Oryzias latipes: one gene and its partner. The protein of the gene in region 2 purifies or fractionates together with the protein of the main gene of each other region. This does not show direct contact. Links are inferred from orthologs where the notes say so. Each region holds a gene or a part of one and is shown on either strand. Other genes may lie near its edges.

Evidence for each region. Proteins that work in one complex are often made in the same cells at the same time.
Region 1: the proteins of rbm28 (region 2) and rexo4 purify together in Homo sapiens (affinity purification with mass spectrometry; 3 studies listed by BioGRID and IntAct, with this or other methods). This does not show direct contact. The link is inferred for Oryzias latipes from reciprocal best matches to the Homo sapiens genes RBM28 and REXO4.

Annotation. Positions count from the first base shown.
Region 1 is NC_019877.2:8,247,968-8,256,153, forward strand, and holds rexo4 (RNA exonuclease 4), read left to right. Parts: upstream 1-2,672; 5' UTR 2,673-2,944; coding exon 2,945-3,160; intron 3,161-3,273; coding exon 3,274-3,593; intron 3,594-3,665; coding exon 3,666-3,812; intron 3,813-4,851; coding exon 4,852-5,045; intron 5,046-5,147; coding exon 5,148-5,236; intron 5,237-5,318; coding exon 5,319-5,393; intron 5,394-5,505; coding exon 5,506-5,580; intron 5,581-5,671; coding exon 5,672-5,809; 3' UTR 5,810-6,342; downstream 6,343-8,186. Other genes in the region: pigp (phosphatidylinositol N-acetylglucosaminyltransferase subunit P), read right to left, coding at 325-440, 758-876, 990-1,062, 2,059-2,140.
Region 2 is NC_019864.2:20,015,546-20,023,686, reverse strand, and holds the start of rbm28 (RNA-binding protein 28), read left to right. Parts: upstream 1-3,302; 5' UTR 3,303-3,560; coding exon 3,561-3,678; intron 3,679-3,890; coding exon 3,891-4,037; intron 4,038-4,121; coding exon 4,122-4,225; intron 4,226-4,303; coding exon 4,304-4,379; intron 4,380-4,459; coding exon 4,460-4,552; intron 4,553-4,623; coding exon 4,624-4,695; intron 4,696-5,088; coding exon 5,089-5,406; intron 5,407-5,493; coding exon 5,494-5,560; intron 5,561-5,705; coding exon 5,706-5,815; intron 5,816-5,895; coding exon 5,896-5,969; intron 5,970-6,057; coding exon 6,058-6,193; intron 6,194-6,312; coding exon 6,313-6,377; intron 6,378-6,512; coding exon 6,513-6,671; intron 6,672-6,785; coding exon 6,786-6,935; intron 6,936-7,048; coding exon 7,049-7,123; intron 7,124-7,201; coding exon 7,202-7,310; intron 7,311-7,740; coding exon 7,741-7,879; intron 7,880-8,040; coding exon 8,041-8,141. Other genes in the region: transmembrane protein 53, read left to right, coding at 276-512, 754-1,000, 1,137-1,498. UniProt on the Homo sapiens protein: Nucleolar component of the spliceosomal ribonucleoprotein complexes.

The DNA.
Region 1 (8,186 bases), on a different chromosome or scaffold from region 2:
TGTCTAAAATAACAAAAGTTGAGTTTATCTTGTGGAAAAATACCTCATCTTTAATGCACTGAAACATACTGTAAATGAACATATTTAAGTGATATTTTCTTATTGGTATGATGGAAACATCTTGATCAATTAAGAAAAAAAATTTAAAAGGTAAATAGCAAAGTCACAGTGCAAAAGTTACATACAAACCCACTAACCAGACCTGTTAACTTTGCATACAAATTTGCAAAAGCGAACAGATTTGGCATATTACACCATCAGAAAGGTTCCCCCAGATTATTAATAAATGAACAGAGAAACCACAAAACACCCAGCAGCAGACTGTTATGTTTTGGGTGATAAATAAAACATTTTGTTGACATCACTGATGGAGACATCCTTTATTCGAGGTATTCCCCCCTTCTGCAGGCATTCTTCACTCTGCTTTAGTGCATAAATATCTAAAAGACACAAAGAAGACACTTAAAGCTGTTTTCTTGGTGGTGTTTTCTTAATTTTGACATAATATCCGACCTTTTTGACATAAATTACTCACCCTTATTTGTATTCATTTATTTTAAAAGTATATGCTTTTATTATGTGAGGTACAGTTCCTTTTTTAGAAAAATGCAGCTGCAATTAGCGCATGTTAAAGCTAGTTCGGTTGTATTACTCCTAGCAGTGATTTTACTTCCTTTTTTTAAAATTCAATATAATTTCACTTCAAACAGCTTTTCTGTGATTTACGCTGACTGTTAGCCTGCAGCCATAAACTCACCTGTGATGTTGTCCACAGAGTCCAGTGGGGCTGTGTTGCTCATGTTGACCCCAAATAACACCACAACAAACACCAGTATTGCCACCAGCATATATATTGGCACTGCGAGAGCCCAATACCTGCATCAAACATTTCACTTTAAGATTCAAACAAAGGCTAACAAGCCTAGGGTAATCTCATTGTAAAAAGACATAAAACATAAATTCTAACTTGTCATATTGTTGCTACTTACTTTTGAGGCCAATAAGTGAGCCCTATAGAATGAAGCCATTCCTCTGGTATGTATGCCCACAAGCAGTACAGAACTTTGGGAAAAGAAACAGAACAAACATATTTTATTAAGAGAATTCTTTGATACTCTTTTAGGATAGACTTTTTTTTCAAATTGTTCACGAACTATTTTTACTTCTGTTCTGTTACATTATCTTACATTTATGTATAAACATATGTCCTTTCATTTCAATTTATTTTTAAATCTGATGCTTTTTCATACAGAAAGACCATCCAACCAATAAAAAAGACAACCTTTGAGGAAAGTGTAAATATTCATTTATAAGCAACAGAGTTATGTGATATTCCAAATTGAAATCTTTTTAGAATTATTGGGATTATTAGAAGAATTTTCTTTTAAATGAGAAAAAGACAATCCAATTTAAAAGTTAAACAAGACTTCTTCATTTGGCTTAATACAATTTTGCCGACTTATTAAATTGTGTAGTTTTAAGCCTAAATATGAACATAACAGGCCTATTAAAAAAATCCTACTTTTTACCCAAAACAACAACAACACACAACTAGCGTTTTAAAGTAATTTACAATATTTAAGTCACTACCATCCTGCCATCTTTCAGCTGAATTTTTAAAAATATATATAAACACAATAACCTTTTACTAATGTATACCTTGAGATATAAATAACTTAAAAAAAACTAATTATTGAAAGAATTCTATTGAGAAAAAAATCCAAAAAGGCTTGTTTTTTTTAAGTGAAGTCACATTGAATTAATGGCAGTCTGTTTTTCAGGTGGTCAACTATTTATCACCCTAGTAGTAAGGAGATTTAAATCTCCACCGAGAAACGGTTATTCTATTTTAACTCAAGTGAGTCGTCCTGCACATTTACAAATTTCAATGAGATTAGATTTATGGCAACATAAACAAAAGGAACAGAATGTCTTTGCTATATTACCAAGAGCCGTAGAGATAAGTAATTCCACAACATTTTACGTTGAATGACATCTTCTGCAAATAGAACTATGCTTCTAATTTGAAAGAACATGATGTGATGGGACTTAACTTACAGAAGCCAAACTGGGAGCCAAGGAAGAGAACAAACCCATAGATTGCTCTCTCTGGCATAGGTGATGGGGAGTTTTCAACCATGATCTGAAACCAGAACACAAACAGACCATCTATTGGGTAAAATAATCGAAAATAAACAATGACAAAAAGTCACTAAACTTACCGACAGATAATAAGTGTATTTTGGTTCGTAAGAAGAGCAGCAAGTTTACAAAAACCCCTAAAAACAGTTTAAATGTTTCTCAAATAGCTTGTTTATATCGTACCATCAGCTAGGTTCAACGATAGATAAAATCCAATTCTACTATTTCAAACGAAACATAAATAAAAATGTAAAAAGTGCATCTAATCATATTACGCCAAAACCTAGCTGACTGCTGTCAACAAAACGTTAGTCCATCACCTAAATGAGTTCGGTCAGAAACTGTACATCAGGAACAAAAGACTTTAAAGAAATAAAGCAAAATTACATATCAATCTTGTGTTCTTTGTTAGTAATGTATAGATATTAAAAACTATTTTCAAGCTTGAAAAAAGAAAGAAATAAAAAAATCAACGAAGGGAGAACTTTCTGCCGCTCGAACGAATCATGTTACTTTTTTCCTGACGAACATATTTGACTGTTACTCATTCCAGAAGCACCGCAGCATGGCTTCGTGAATGTGAAGGTAAACAACTTGAAACATAATTTTTCCCTGTTTGGGAGGATAATAAAGTGGCTATTTTTGCTAATAGAAACAGTGTGTGCCCTTTATCTGGGATACATATGTATGTGACACAGCGTTAACTGTTTTCGTTTACATCTCACCTAAAATTGGCTTCTTTCAAAAACGTGGCTGTGTAACACAGCAAATACTCCCTGAAGTTTAAAGAAGTGCGACCACGATGTCTAAAATCAAAGGAAAGGAAACTCCTGCTGGAAAAACGCAACAGCTGACGTCCAAAGAAAAAAGGAAGAAGTTTTTTATAAAGCATAATCGTAAAAAACAAACTTCCCAAAAGACTCTAAACAAGAAAAATCTAGAAAATCCTGGAGCAAAGCAAACTGCACCACCACAGGATCCCCAACAGTTTTCTTCCAACTGGAAAGCATTACAAGAGGTTTGTCTGACGAATATTAAACTCTATGCTCTTCATAAGCTGTGCAACTACTTATGTGAAAATGTATTTACTTTTAAAATGTAATTATCTTCTTTGTTTCCTGAACATGGCAGATCTTAAAGAGCAGTCAGCCAGAGAAGAAGCAGCCTGTTACACCAAAACATCGGAATGGTGTCTTCCCTAAGAAGTTTAAAGGAAATGAGCCTAAAAAGTTTCAAAATAAGAGCCCTGCTCCCAGCCAGGTGCACACAGACAGAGAGGGAAAAGTCAAAAGTGGCGATGCCCCAAAGGAGGATGGGGTGAAGGCAAAGATCCACGCCGCCTTAGACAAACTGCAACCTGGTGGTGCAAGGAAAAGGCAAAACGAAAAGACAGACAATGAGAAACCAGCCAAGAAAAAGAAGCCCGTCACTGAAGAGAGGAAACCCACAGAGTATGTATCCTTATTGCTAATACTTGACTTCAGTTCGGGTTTGCCTTGTAATCTTTGCTTGTGCTGCTGTAGGGAGGACCTTTGGTTTGATGACGTCGACCCTGACGATATTGAGGAAACGATGGGAGCCGAGGCTGCAGAGATCATGAGGAGGAAACAAGGCATGAAAACAAGCAAGAACGTAGATAGCGTTCTGGTAAAAGAGAACGCCTTTGATGGGTAAGAGAAACTGTTTTGTGTTCTTACGGTCAAAATGCCACACCTTCATTTGCTATCGATCAACTCTAGTTGAAATTCACCTTTCTTTATAGAGCTCTTTTCCTGTTAAAAAACACCTCAAAGTCTTTTACATAAATAAATAATAATTATATTAGTATTTATAATAAACACATGTTGTGTACAAAAACTAGCAGGAAAAAATAATCCATAAAATCAAATTAAAACATGAGGAAATGTAAAATCGACATAAAAGCTAAACTAAAAAGGTGAGTTTAGGCCAAAGTTCTGCCATGTGGCCTCGCTGTGGGTTTTTGTTTATGACCTCAGGGAGCACCAGCATAACTGGATCTGAGGGCTCTGGGAGGGTCGTCTGCTAACACCAGCTTGATTAAAATTAAAGTGCAATTTCATTAAACTAAGAAAAGTACCTTAAAATCGATCCTAAAGCTGACAGAGAACCAGATATTTCAAATTTGGAGTCCTTCTTTTTGTCCTGATATTTTTTGATAATTTTTGCTCAACAATCATTATTATAGTATATTGTTTTAATCTCATCTGCTGCTCTTCTTCATCATTGTTTTCTTGGTCGGATGTGTAAAAGTGTTGAAAAAGTCCATTCCTAGCAACTCTTTAATCTAGTGGGATACTTCCCGTGTGTGTTGCTCTCTTTGGGCATAAGTATGAGTCTTAAAATCGTCGGATTGTTTCGCAATTGCTTCCTGATGAATATGCAGCCATAGCTGTTGCAGAGTTTATGCTCATCTCAACCTGCAGCAGACTGGCTCCAACAGACTCCCTAAGTGGAAGTAGTTGGAAAAACAGCCGTTGCCTTTTTAAACAAGTTTTTGAAAAAATCGGTATAGTTGTCAGTTATACCCCAATAACATCAGATGTTCTCTTACTTCTCTCAAAAGAGAAAATGATTTAATAATGTTTCAGGTGATTTCTGTGGAGAAACTTTAAAACGGGCAGCAGAAAGACTGGACTGTTTCATTAGATGACCTTTTGTTTTCTCCACGTTTGTACGTATGAATATCAGCATCACCAAAGCTGTAGCTATTGATTGTGAGATGGTGGGAGTCGGTCCAGATGGGGAGGACAGCATCCTGGCACGTGTGTCCATCGTGAACCAGTTTGGAAAATGCATCTATGACAAATATGTCAAACCCACAGAGAAGGTGACAGACTACAGAACAGCTGTCAGTGGGATCCGACCGGAACACATTAAAAATGGTAAGAAAACGAGACATCACTGTATACTTAGATGTTTATTGCTTTCAAACAATCCTCTGTGCTTTTGAACAGTGTCAAAATGTGATTTTTTTTTTTTTACAGGGGAGGATGTGCATGTTGTGCAAAAGGAGGTGGCTGAAATTCTGCAAGGAAGAATTGTGGTTGGTCATGCAATTCACAATGACTTAAAGGTATTGTGTTGCCTTAAAATAAATGTGTGCTCCAATAAAACAGCTGTAGCTCTCCTCTTACAGAGTCTGTCAACTGTTTCAGATTCTTCTCTTGGATCATCCAAAGAAGCACATTCGGGACACTCAGAAGTATAAACCCTTTCGGAAGACTGTAGGGGTAATTATAGAAAGTTCTTTTGTTTTTACTGAGACTTACTGGTAGATCGTCTGTGGAAGGTTCCAGACCTCATCTTAATAAGAACAAGTTTATAAATGATTTTATATTTTAGAGCGGCCGACCTTCGTTGAAACTCCTCTGCAGAGAAATCCTGCATGTGAAGGTGCAGCAGGGAGAACACTCTTCTGTAAGTTGGAAATAAAATACATCATTTTTCTTATTCTGATAATGATAAGAGATTGAAAAAAACAAAAACAAACATTTTCTGTGTGTTGCAGGTCCAAGATGCTCAGGCCACCATGAGGTTGTACACTTTGGTGAAAAAACAGTGGGAAGCAGAGTTGAAAGCAAGCAAGAAAAACAGCGACTCTAATAAGAAGAATGAGAGGAGGCCCAGGAAAAAACAAAATCAGTAAACACAATTATCCAAATATAACTTATAATTCAGAGGTTAAACATATGTTTTGTAAATTAAACTTTTCACAAAAAAGTGTAAGTTCTTTTAAAAAGGAAGACAAAATATATCATCATGGATAGCCTGATTCGGATGGAGACTTGTTTGTTTAAAGCACAGTGCTGCACATTTAACCTATTTAAACAGGAGGCTCAAAGCTTTAGCTTGAATTTGTATTCATTTTTTGTCAGCCTATGTATTAAAAAAGAGAGATCTTAAAAAATGTAGAAAAAAACGTAAGTATTCCCAGAAGGGTTGTAAAAATGTTAGATGGCCGTCACATGTAAGTTTCAACAGTTTTGTGTGTCTGAACATTCGTTTGAGCGTAAAACCATCTTTTCCTGTTAAGACATTTTCCAGCAGTGAAGAAGTTGTTTTTCCACAATGTATCTTTTACCTCTGACAAAAAATGACCCCTGTATGTGCAAGTTCAATGTCTGTTGATGTATTTTTTTCATATGGATTATTGTTTTTTAAATAAATTGAGAAACAATTGATCTGGTCTGGTCTTTTTACTTAAAAAAGTAAAGTATTTAAATATGAAAACATATTTAAAAAATTACATTTTCATGCTTATTGAAGGTGCAAATGACAAATCTAAAACAATGAAACAACAGTTCTTAAGCTTGTTTTTGAGTTTTCTCTATTTAAATAAATGTAGTCTTTAATATTTTTCATGATTTAAATTTAATTTAATAAGTAAAATATCTAATTTAAAAGTGCTACATAAGTATACGCCATTTACCATCATTACTTTATTAGGCCAGAAGACAGATGTATGTTCTCCAACCAACAGAAAGTTATAAGAATTGTGGTTATCTTAGAGCATCAGTTTTATATTCTAATGTTTTCTTTCTATAGGGAGGGACATCTGGAATCTGACCTGGACATTTGATTTAATGGAAAGAATTTAAAAAAAATTCTTTTGGTTTTAACGCCAACTGACTCCCTTCTGTCGACTAGAAGCGCTGAAAAGTTTCAAAAGCAATCACTTAATTCAAACAGGAATTGGGGTTTTTCTATTTAACCCTTTTATCGTGTTCAGATCAATATGGACTTGTTTCAAGTATAAAAAACGCCCAAAACTGGATAAAAGCCCTGGCATCTTCACACAAGTCCCGCTCACATCATTCAGTCAGAAAACAGGACTGTAAAACAAAAACGTAATGTGAGCAGCACTTTTTTAGATCATTGCATTTGCATCTTGAGTGAAATGCTTCTGTTTAACAGTGATTTTGCCTTTTAGATCGTGGCTTTAAAATCTCCACGGTCTTTTGTTGAGCCAATGGATTTGAGTAAAAGTAACTTCATTATTCACCTAGTTGTGCAAAAGAACACCTTGGCCTCAAATAATCAGTGTAAAACAATCCTCATTAGTGTTTTCCCTGCAGTCCCATTTTTACTTTGACTTTAAGACGTTTTCTAATGGTATTGTCATCACCAGGAAGGTTTTCTTACAATATTCCATAATGTACAGTGCAGGAGAAGACATATATTTGTCTCACACAGTTTCTGCAAGCTCACAAAGATGGGAAGTCTTTAATGTTCACATTAGATACACTTCAAGAGTGAGAGACAGAATGTAAAAAAGAATCTGGGAAATCACATTGCATTTACATTTATCTCTATGATGGTTCAGAAAATGAGTATTTGGTCAAGAAAAAAGTTTAATACTTTCTAATTTAACCCTGGTTGACACTGACTATTGGAAACATTTCCTGTAGGTTTTGAGCACATTGTAGCTGCTGTTTCGGTCCATTCTTCCATGTTTCAGGGTTTTTGCCGGAAAACACAGACTTTCTAATCCTTCCACAGATTTTTTATTGGAGACTGGCTTTGGCTTTGGCCAGCCCAAAACCTTGTGAGGACTTTTACTTACCCATGCCGTCATTGCCTAGGCGATATGTTTGGAATCATGTTTCATCCTCAAAGCTCACTGATGGAAGCAGGTTTTTCCTAATAATCTCACCATACGCAGCTCTAGTTTGGGATGATCAGTACAATTCAGCCATCCTGTCTCCTTTGCAGAAAAACAGTCCCAAAGCCTGATGTTTCCACCCCCATGCTTCACAGTGGGTATGGTTTTCTTGAGATTTAACTCAGCATTCTTTACCTTCTGAACAAGGTTCTCTAGTAAACTAGAAAGTCCTGGACATGTTCTGGTTTGAGCAGCAGGACCTTTGGAGGTCTGAAGGATTCAAATCCTTTGTGTTTTACTGATAGTATCCTTTGTCATTGTGGTCCCAGCTCTCTTCAGCTCATTGACATGTTTCCCCCGTGTAATGGGGGCTGTTTTATCACTGTTCTCAACATCAATTGTACCCCACCAGGTGAGATCT
Region 2 (8,141 bases):
TAGATGTTATGTTGCCTCTGGACATTTGTGCCATTGTTGTGGAATAAGGCAAGACGACAAACATTTAAATCTCTTTACATTTTAGCGTACACGTATGGCTAAAAAGTACTACAAAGTGAGTACTATAAGTGATTTAAAATGAGTGCCTACTAGCTTAGTAGCTTAGATGCAGAAACTTAAGATGTTATTCGTTAAACTGTATTTCCTTTAACTTCTCATTTGGTTTCCGGTCTGTCTGTGTCCTCTGCAGACCTTTCTCTGTCATCATATTCGGAATGTTGTCGGCGACCATGTTGGCCAGAACAGCGCTAAGCAGAGGCATTACTGCCCAGCACCTCTGTAAAAACGTGACCCTGTATATGAGTGAACTAACAGCTACGGGTTCCGGAAGTCCGATCACCAAACCACTAATGCTGATGTTGCCGTGGTTGGGTTCACGTCCACAAGCCGTGGATAAGTATTGTGAGATTTACTTTCGCACCGGCTTCGACGTCATCGTGGTGGAGAGTGAGGTAAAGACTTCTTTAAAAAAAATAATAATAACTTTATTTAAACTTCATATTATTAAAACATGCAATAAAAATCACAGAGGTCAGTGAAATTAAGCAGGAGATGTTAAAATCTTCTGCAACAACTGCAGTGGAATGGAATAAAATTATGTAAATTGCATTTTTTTTATTTATTTAGGTTTCTGATCTTGAATTGAATACCTACATTTATTTACAAATTGCTCTTTTAATTTTTTTTTACTAGGTAAAGGATTTCCTGTGGCCTCGATGGGGACTAGACCGTGGGAAAACATTGCTGGATTTGCTTCTGAGTGATCGCTTTATGTCCCGGCCTCTGCTTGTCCACGCTTTCTCAATTGGCGGCTACACATTTGCCCAACTGCTTGTTCATATGTCGCACGACCAAGAGAAATACCAGGAATTTGCCAGTAGGATCAAAGGTCAAGTTTATGACAGCTTGGTGGTAGGCTCATTGGAGCAAATGGCCACAGGTAAGTGGGTTCAAGCATCAAGTACTGAATGGATTTTTTTTTTCTTCAATAAATTATGTATATAAAACCAGCTTTTTTTATTTTAGGTAAAAAATAATATTGGATGTCTTTGTTTTTTTCCTGTCTGTCTGTTTAGGTCTTGGTAAAACAGTTTTTCCTCGTTTTGAGACCTTGATTAAACAAATAAGCCTGCTGTACTTCACTATCTTTAAAACCCAAACGGTGGACCACTTTAACTCCAGCATTGATGTTTTCTGGAACAATCCAGTCAGAGCCCCTGCACTAATGTTCTTTTGCGAGAATGATGTGATGAGCCATGCGCAAACGGTGGAGAAACTCATTGATTACTGGAAGAAGCATGGAATGGACGTCTCTGTAAAGAAGTGGGAGGACTCAACACATGCGGGTCACTTAAGGAGGTATCCTCAAGAATATCTGACCACCCTAAACTCCTTCCTACACTCCCTTCAAATCTCCCCTCTTAAGGCAAAGATGTAAGAAGGTTCATTTTAAATGCAGATCCAAAGCAGGGTTTAAATAAAATGTTCTCAGCATAAATAACAGTTTCACCATTTCAAGGTTAATTTAAGTCCCAGAAATCAAATTAGTCAGTTTTACACACTTACTGTGAACTTTATAAATCTACTGAAGTTATTGTTTTGACAACTTCATTGACAAATTTTCCGTTTGTTTCTTGTTTTTGGCTTTTACAAACGTTCTTATCTTAATATTTAACGTGTTAAATGTTGGCAAAAAAGTTGCAAAGCCGATGCAAATGTGAACTCAGCATTTCTAAACACAAGACAAACTGTTGTGGAGAAGAGAGATGCTTCCAGAAATGTCTTCCATTTCAATAACGGATCTCCACTGAGCTGAACAACTCCTTTAGACTCACTTGATTAAGAGATTTTATCCTGACAATCAATCAAAAGGTGACAAATCGGTCGAGACGGGATAAACTGTTGGAAGGAGTAGCTATTTGGAAATCTAAAGATGTGAAATGAATACAACCAAAATGTTGACACTTTTAACTGTTTAGAAGAAAATTAAATCAGTTTTATGTTCCGAGATTCTCTCTTCTTAGCACTCTGACACAAGTGGACGGGTGCAGTTTTTTTTTTTATTGTGGTCTCTAACATTTAGAGGACGTGTTGTTGACTGATTTTGGTCCATTTGAAACAGCCTGTTTTTAAATGTCATGAAACGATGTGGAACCAGGGAGAAATCGCTTTTGTGCATCGTCATATTGAGTTTTGTTAAAGAAATGAAGGACTGTTATCTGTAGCTGACTTACCAGTAATCATTTTAAATTCAAATTTTAATTTTCTCTGTGACTTGATGCTTTTAAATCTTCATTATGACACTACATCTCTGTACTTGAACATTTCTGTTATGGAATATTATAAATGTGGCACTTTTTTATGCTTGTAACTTGAAAATTACTAGGGAAAAAAAATGTGAAAAACTGAATGAAATTGATTTCTTTGTGTGTTTTTTCCTTGATTTATTCCATATAAACCCAATCAATGTTGAACAAGCTATAATCTGTATTACATTATCAATTATTTGTCTTTTAAAAGTCATCTGTAATACTTTTCATAATGGGTCATAAGTCCTCTAGTACCTTTCAGTTCCTTTCTTCATGACACTTGCAGAGAGAAAACATAGTTTCTGAAGTGGGAAATGAATTTCACATTTACATGAGGGGCAATATGGATTAATAAAAAGTGACTCGTTTGCCTCTATTAAAGTTAAAAAAAAAGATTTAACTTTAGTCAGTTTCAATCGGTCCATAAAAAAAATATAAGAAACTTCTTAGGGAAAATGCTGCTTAACAAACGAAAATTAACATCTAGCTTACAATGAAATGGTTGGGGAAAAACAGGCCTACATACTAAGAAATAAAAACAAAATGTAGATTTTAACGTTTTAAGATGGCCAACAATGAATTCACTGCAATCAAATTCCTATGAAAAAATAAAATTAATTAAAAATTAAGCTATTAAAATACCAACCAAAAGCCCATTACATGTTTTATTTGTGGCTTTTTTAAAACTAATGCCAAATGGTTTTATTGTAGTTTAAGGTGTAAATATGCTGAAATGAAAGAGTTGCTAACATATAAGAAATAATATTTTACGTCACTGATTTTGTAATGCCTTTTATTACTTACACAATTGTCTGCAAGTTTTATGTATTTGACACGGTCAGTTGTAGATTAGGATCAAGTGGGCATTTTAATTGAGAATGAGCTTCACTTGAAAGATCTATACAAAACCGGAGCGACATTTTCACCTCCGGAGCGGTAGGTGGCAGCACACTGGCTTTGTGGGAGAAAGCATCAACCGACAAACTTCCTGTCAATTTCAAGATGGTTTCTCCCTCATGTAAACATGCGACTTAAGTTTGTTATCGCGTGCCCTTAAAAGCGATTTTCCCCTCCCCAGACCTTCACTGAATAGCTGAGTGATTGGTCGATAAATCTTATTTACGGTTTTTAAATACAGTCGGTTACTTAGTGCTAACTTTGTGTTTCGCGGTAACCGCAGGCGAGAGGGCCATGCACACGCAAACCATCTTCGTTGGGTCTTTACCAGAATCAGCGACAAACGAGCGGCTTGAAGAAATCTTCTCAGAAATCGGTCCGGTCAAACAATGCTTCGTGGTCCGAGAAAAAGGTACTGTTGTTGTCCCAATACCATAAAACAGAACACATGACAATATGTTAAATAACGGCGAGAAATTTTAAAATAACATACAAATTAAAGCACTAGTGGTGTGAAAAACAAAGTTTTATTATTATTATTATTATTATTATTATTAATTTACTAGAAATGTGAATCTATGACATTTTTTAAACCGAGCTAATTATGCCTGTTTTTTAATTCAGGTACAGAAAAATGTCGGGGGTTCGGTTTTGTCAAGTATTCCATGGAAGATGATGCACAACGAGCCCTGAAAGAAATCAAAGACTTCGATGGGAAGAGGCTCTCTCTTTCTTTGGCAAAGAAGAAGATCGATGACAAAAAGAAAGCAGGTTTGGATGAAGAAAACAATACAATCTGTGATCTGACTTACATACTCTTGTCTAAGTTTTGTAATCATGTCTTCACTTTTGTAGTTAAAAAGACAGATCCAGCACCAAATCCTGGTGCAAAGAAAGTCCCTGGCATCAAAAAACAACAGCTGAAATCTCGACTGATTATCAGGAATCTCAGTTTTAAGGTACAGACTTATTCATGTAAAGATTTCTACAGCAAGTCGTCTGTGCCACAGAATCTCATATAACTCCTAACATTTCAGTGTTCAGAGGATGATCTTAAAGAGGTTTTTGAAAAATATGGAACAGTTTTGGAGGCCAAGATTCCCCTGAAACCCGGTGAACATGTTTTCCTTCATTTTTTTCAGTATTCCAAAAATATTACAGCTTTGTTTTAACTTTAAGAAATATTTCAATAGATGGAAAAATGCGAGGATTTGCATTTGTGCTGTTTAAAAATGTGTGTGGAGCAGCAAAGGCACTGAAGGCGATGAACCTAAAGGAGATAAAAGGTCAGAGGGTAAAACATTTGTCTTTGACATTTTTTTTTCTTTATACTTAATTTGACGCCGTTTTATCACAGGTCGACCTGTTGCAGTTGACTGGGCTGTACCTAAAGACAAATATACCGCCTCAACACAGTCATCACATCCAGGTAATGAAGACTCAGAGCAGCCCTAGAGCCAGGTCGTGGTTTTAAAAAGCTCCAATTGACAGTTTTCCAAAAGTAAATGTTAGATTTTGAAGTCTTGTGCTTCAAAACCAATATTATTTTTGCCTTTGTTAAAGCTTGGTAACAACCTTTGTTCTTCAGAGTCTAAAAAAGAAGGCCTTACATATTTTAATGCCTAATGAGTTACAAATGTAAAGGCTCTCATTTTATTAGAAAAAGTTTTGGTTTAGTTGGAACATTTGTCTTCTGCCTCTGTAGCTACTGGGAATACAAGAGTAATAAATGCGTGACTTGAGGAAAAACACATTTTACTGTTCAAAGACTTTTCTTTTGATTGAAAATTTCGCAGAGATGTTATTTCATTTTTTTTCTTAGGCAACAAGAACACAAAACAAGCAAGTGACACTTGTGATGAGGATGAAGAACAGAGCCAAGTTGTGCAGCCAGTAGAAGAGCCTAAGGTAAAGGAGGAAGATGAAAGTGAGGATGAAGATGACAGTGAGGACAATGAAAAAAGTGAAGATGAGGAGGGAAACAGTGAAGATGAGGATGACCATAGAAAAGAAGAGGAGGAAGATGACGATGACGACAATAGCAATGATGATGATGATGATGATGATGATGATGGCCTCGATTCAGCCAATGGCGATTCAGCCAGTGAGGATGCAGAAGATGATGATGATGATCAATCAGGTAAAAATATTTCATATACATGAACATAGAATGTGGTCTTTATGGAAACTAAGAAATGTATATTTTATGTGTGGATTTCATTTTTAGCTAAAAGAAAAGCTCGGAAAAAAGATCTCCCTTCTGATGTGAAAGAGGGCCGAACAGTTTTCATAAGGTTGGCCTCTTCTCCAACTTAAACCTAAATGCTCCTTTAAGTCAATAAACTTGAATCCTTTTCAGGCTAGCTGAACACACAACAGACGTTTTTTAGCGTTCACATTCTGTCGCGTCAAATCACAATGCCTCCTTCTGGTTTTTAGGAACTTGTCTTTTGATACGGATGAAGAAGGACTGGAGAGCGTTCTCCTTCAGTACGGAGAGCTAAATTACATAAAGATCCTCCTTCATCCAGACACAGAACATTCAAAAGGTCAGAAGGGAACAACTAAAAGGCTTTTCTGCTTTAAATCAAATCGCTGACCCTTACAACCTTGTATGTCACTTTTCCAGGTTGTGCATTTGCTCAGTTTAAGACCAAAGACGCTGCAGACCGATGTATAGTTGCTGCCCAGGATGAAGCAGAGGTAACGGATAAGCTTCTCTCTTTTTTTTTTTTGTTTCTCATCAACTGTTTTAGTAAAACGGATGACCTTTTCTTCGCCTGTGCTGCAGAAAGGTGGCATCCGTGTGGATGGCAGAAAGCTGTCGATTGTTGCAGCAGTGTCCAGAGAAGACGCTGTCAAGCTGAAAGTCGATAAGAAGAAAGTAGAAACGGGCAGCAGGAATCTGTACCTTGCCAGGGAGGGGCGTAAGTCCGCACATTTTAGCCTTTCATAACTCTGATAATGTCGAGAGGGGCTTTAATTTTGCAATCTTAGCATTACCCATGGAAAGCTTTTCAGTGTAAATGTTCTTCTTAACTTTCAGTGATTCGTTCTGGGACGAAGGCTGCTGAGGGGGTTTCTGAGGCAGACATGGCCAAAAGGACTCGAGTCAGTCGATCTTTATGGGAAAATTCTTTCATTTTTTTTATGCACCAGGCTTCATTCAGTCTTCTATGTTGTTTATTATTTCTAATTTGTTCTTCTTTTAAAAATAATTCAAAGACATTCTATGTTTTTTTTAAGTTTGAGGAAATGAAAAGAGCCAAGCTTCGGGACATCAGTGTGTTCGTGTCCAAAACTCGCCTGTGCATCCATAACCTGCCTAAGTCGGTGGACAATAAGAAGCTGAAAGCTCTCTGCCTTCAAGCTGTTAAAGGAGTGAAAGGAGTTCGGATCACGGAGGTAGATTGGGATGGATTCACCTAGTTTTGAGCTTTAAGCAAATATCTGTTTTTGCCTGTTTGGATTTCTTTTTGCGGTTTTCTTCTAAATCTGTTTTGAATTCTGTTGTTTTAGTGTCGAGTCATGTATGACAAGAAGCCAGAGAGGGGTCAGGTTCTAGGACAGTCCCTGGGTTACGGCTTTGTTCAGTTCCAGGAGCACGAACAAGCTCTTAGCACTCTGCGGTACCTAAATAATAACCCAGACATCTTCAGTGCACATAAGGTACGCTATCTACAAACTTAAAGTCTGTGAAATCAGTCTTTGCTGCCATTCTTTTTTATCTCCTAAAAACATACACCAACTCTAATATTTTTGTGTTTTGCTTCTTTACACAGAGACCAATTGTGGAGTTTTCTCTGGAAGATTCAAGGAAACTCAAAATAAAAGAAATCAGAAAGCAAAAACACAAGGTACGCCTTCACAGATATGTTTGCTCTGCAACTAATACGCTTTAATGGCTTTCGTTGACACTGTGGGTGATTTGACAGGATTTCTTGAAAAGTAATGCTTTTAAAGGGGGAAAGCCTCAACAGAAAACCCTTGGAGACAACGCCAGACTTCAGAAAAGTGGAAATGAAGAACCAGATCAAAAGAAAGGTAAGTCTGATTTCTTTTCAGTTGGGGAAAACCAGCTGCACTGAGAACAGGTTAAAAGTCTTGAGATCGAGGTGGGAGACACCAATGTGTCACGATTCTTCAGGACTTTCAGACCTTCAACTGACTGAGATATGCGGAAGTGGTAGATAGATGTGGTTGACAGAAGTGTTCCTTGGGATAGTAAACTGGAAGAATTTGTGCTCAAGTTGTTCTGTTACTCATGACGAGACGCAGGAAAAGGGAAGTCTGACAAAGCAGTTTGAACCAGACAACAGCACGACTGTAAAGAAACAGTAAGCTGCGTAGAAGCAGTTGCACATTTCATCACTGATGGGTTTCTTTTTTTTCTCCTTACACTGAATGCTAACCATTAAAATGTTCAGCAAGTTAGAAATGTCTCTTTTTTTCTCCTGTTTATTTTATTTCTCAGGTAATCCCGAAAAGCAGAATCAACATGGATTCTATTCAGGTTTCCAGACCAAAGCTGCGGTCGAGCATGTCGATTTGAAGAATGGAAAAAAACGAAAGAAGGTTCTACCTTTGCCATCTCACCGAGGGCCTAAGATCAGGTACTATTCCTGGTTACAGACACTCATAACTTATTGTTTCCCTAAATAAATCTTAATTGTTTTGTAGATTTTTAAGCATTAGGTTGTTGTTTTGTTTAAAGATGAAATATTAGTTTAAATTTGATCTGGACGATAAAAAAATAAACTCTGACCTTTTGCAGAATGCGTGACAAAGGAAAGCAACAAGCCCCGCCTCCTAAAAAAGCAAAGCCAGGATCTAAAAGAAGCAATCAAAGGAGGTTGATGGTTGAAAAGCCGTCAC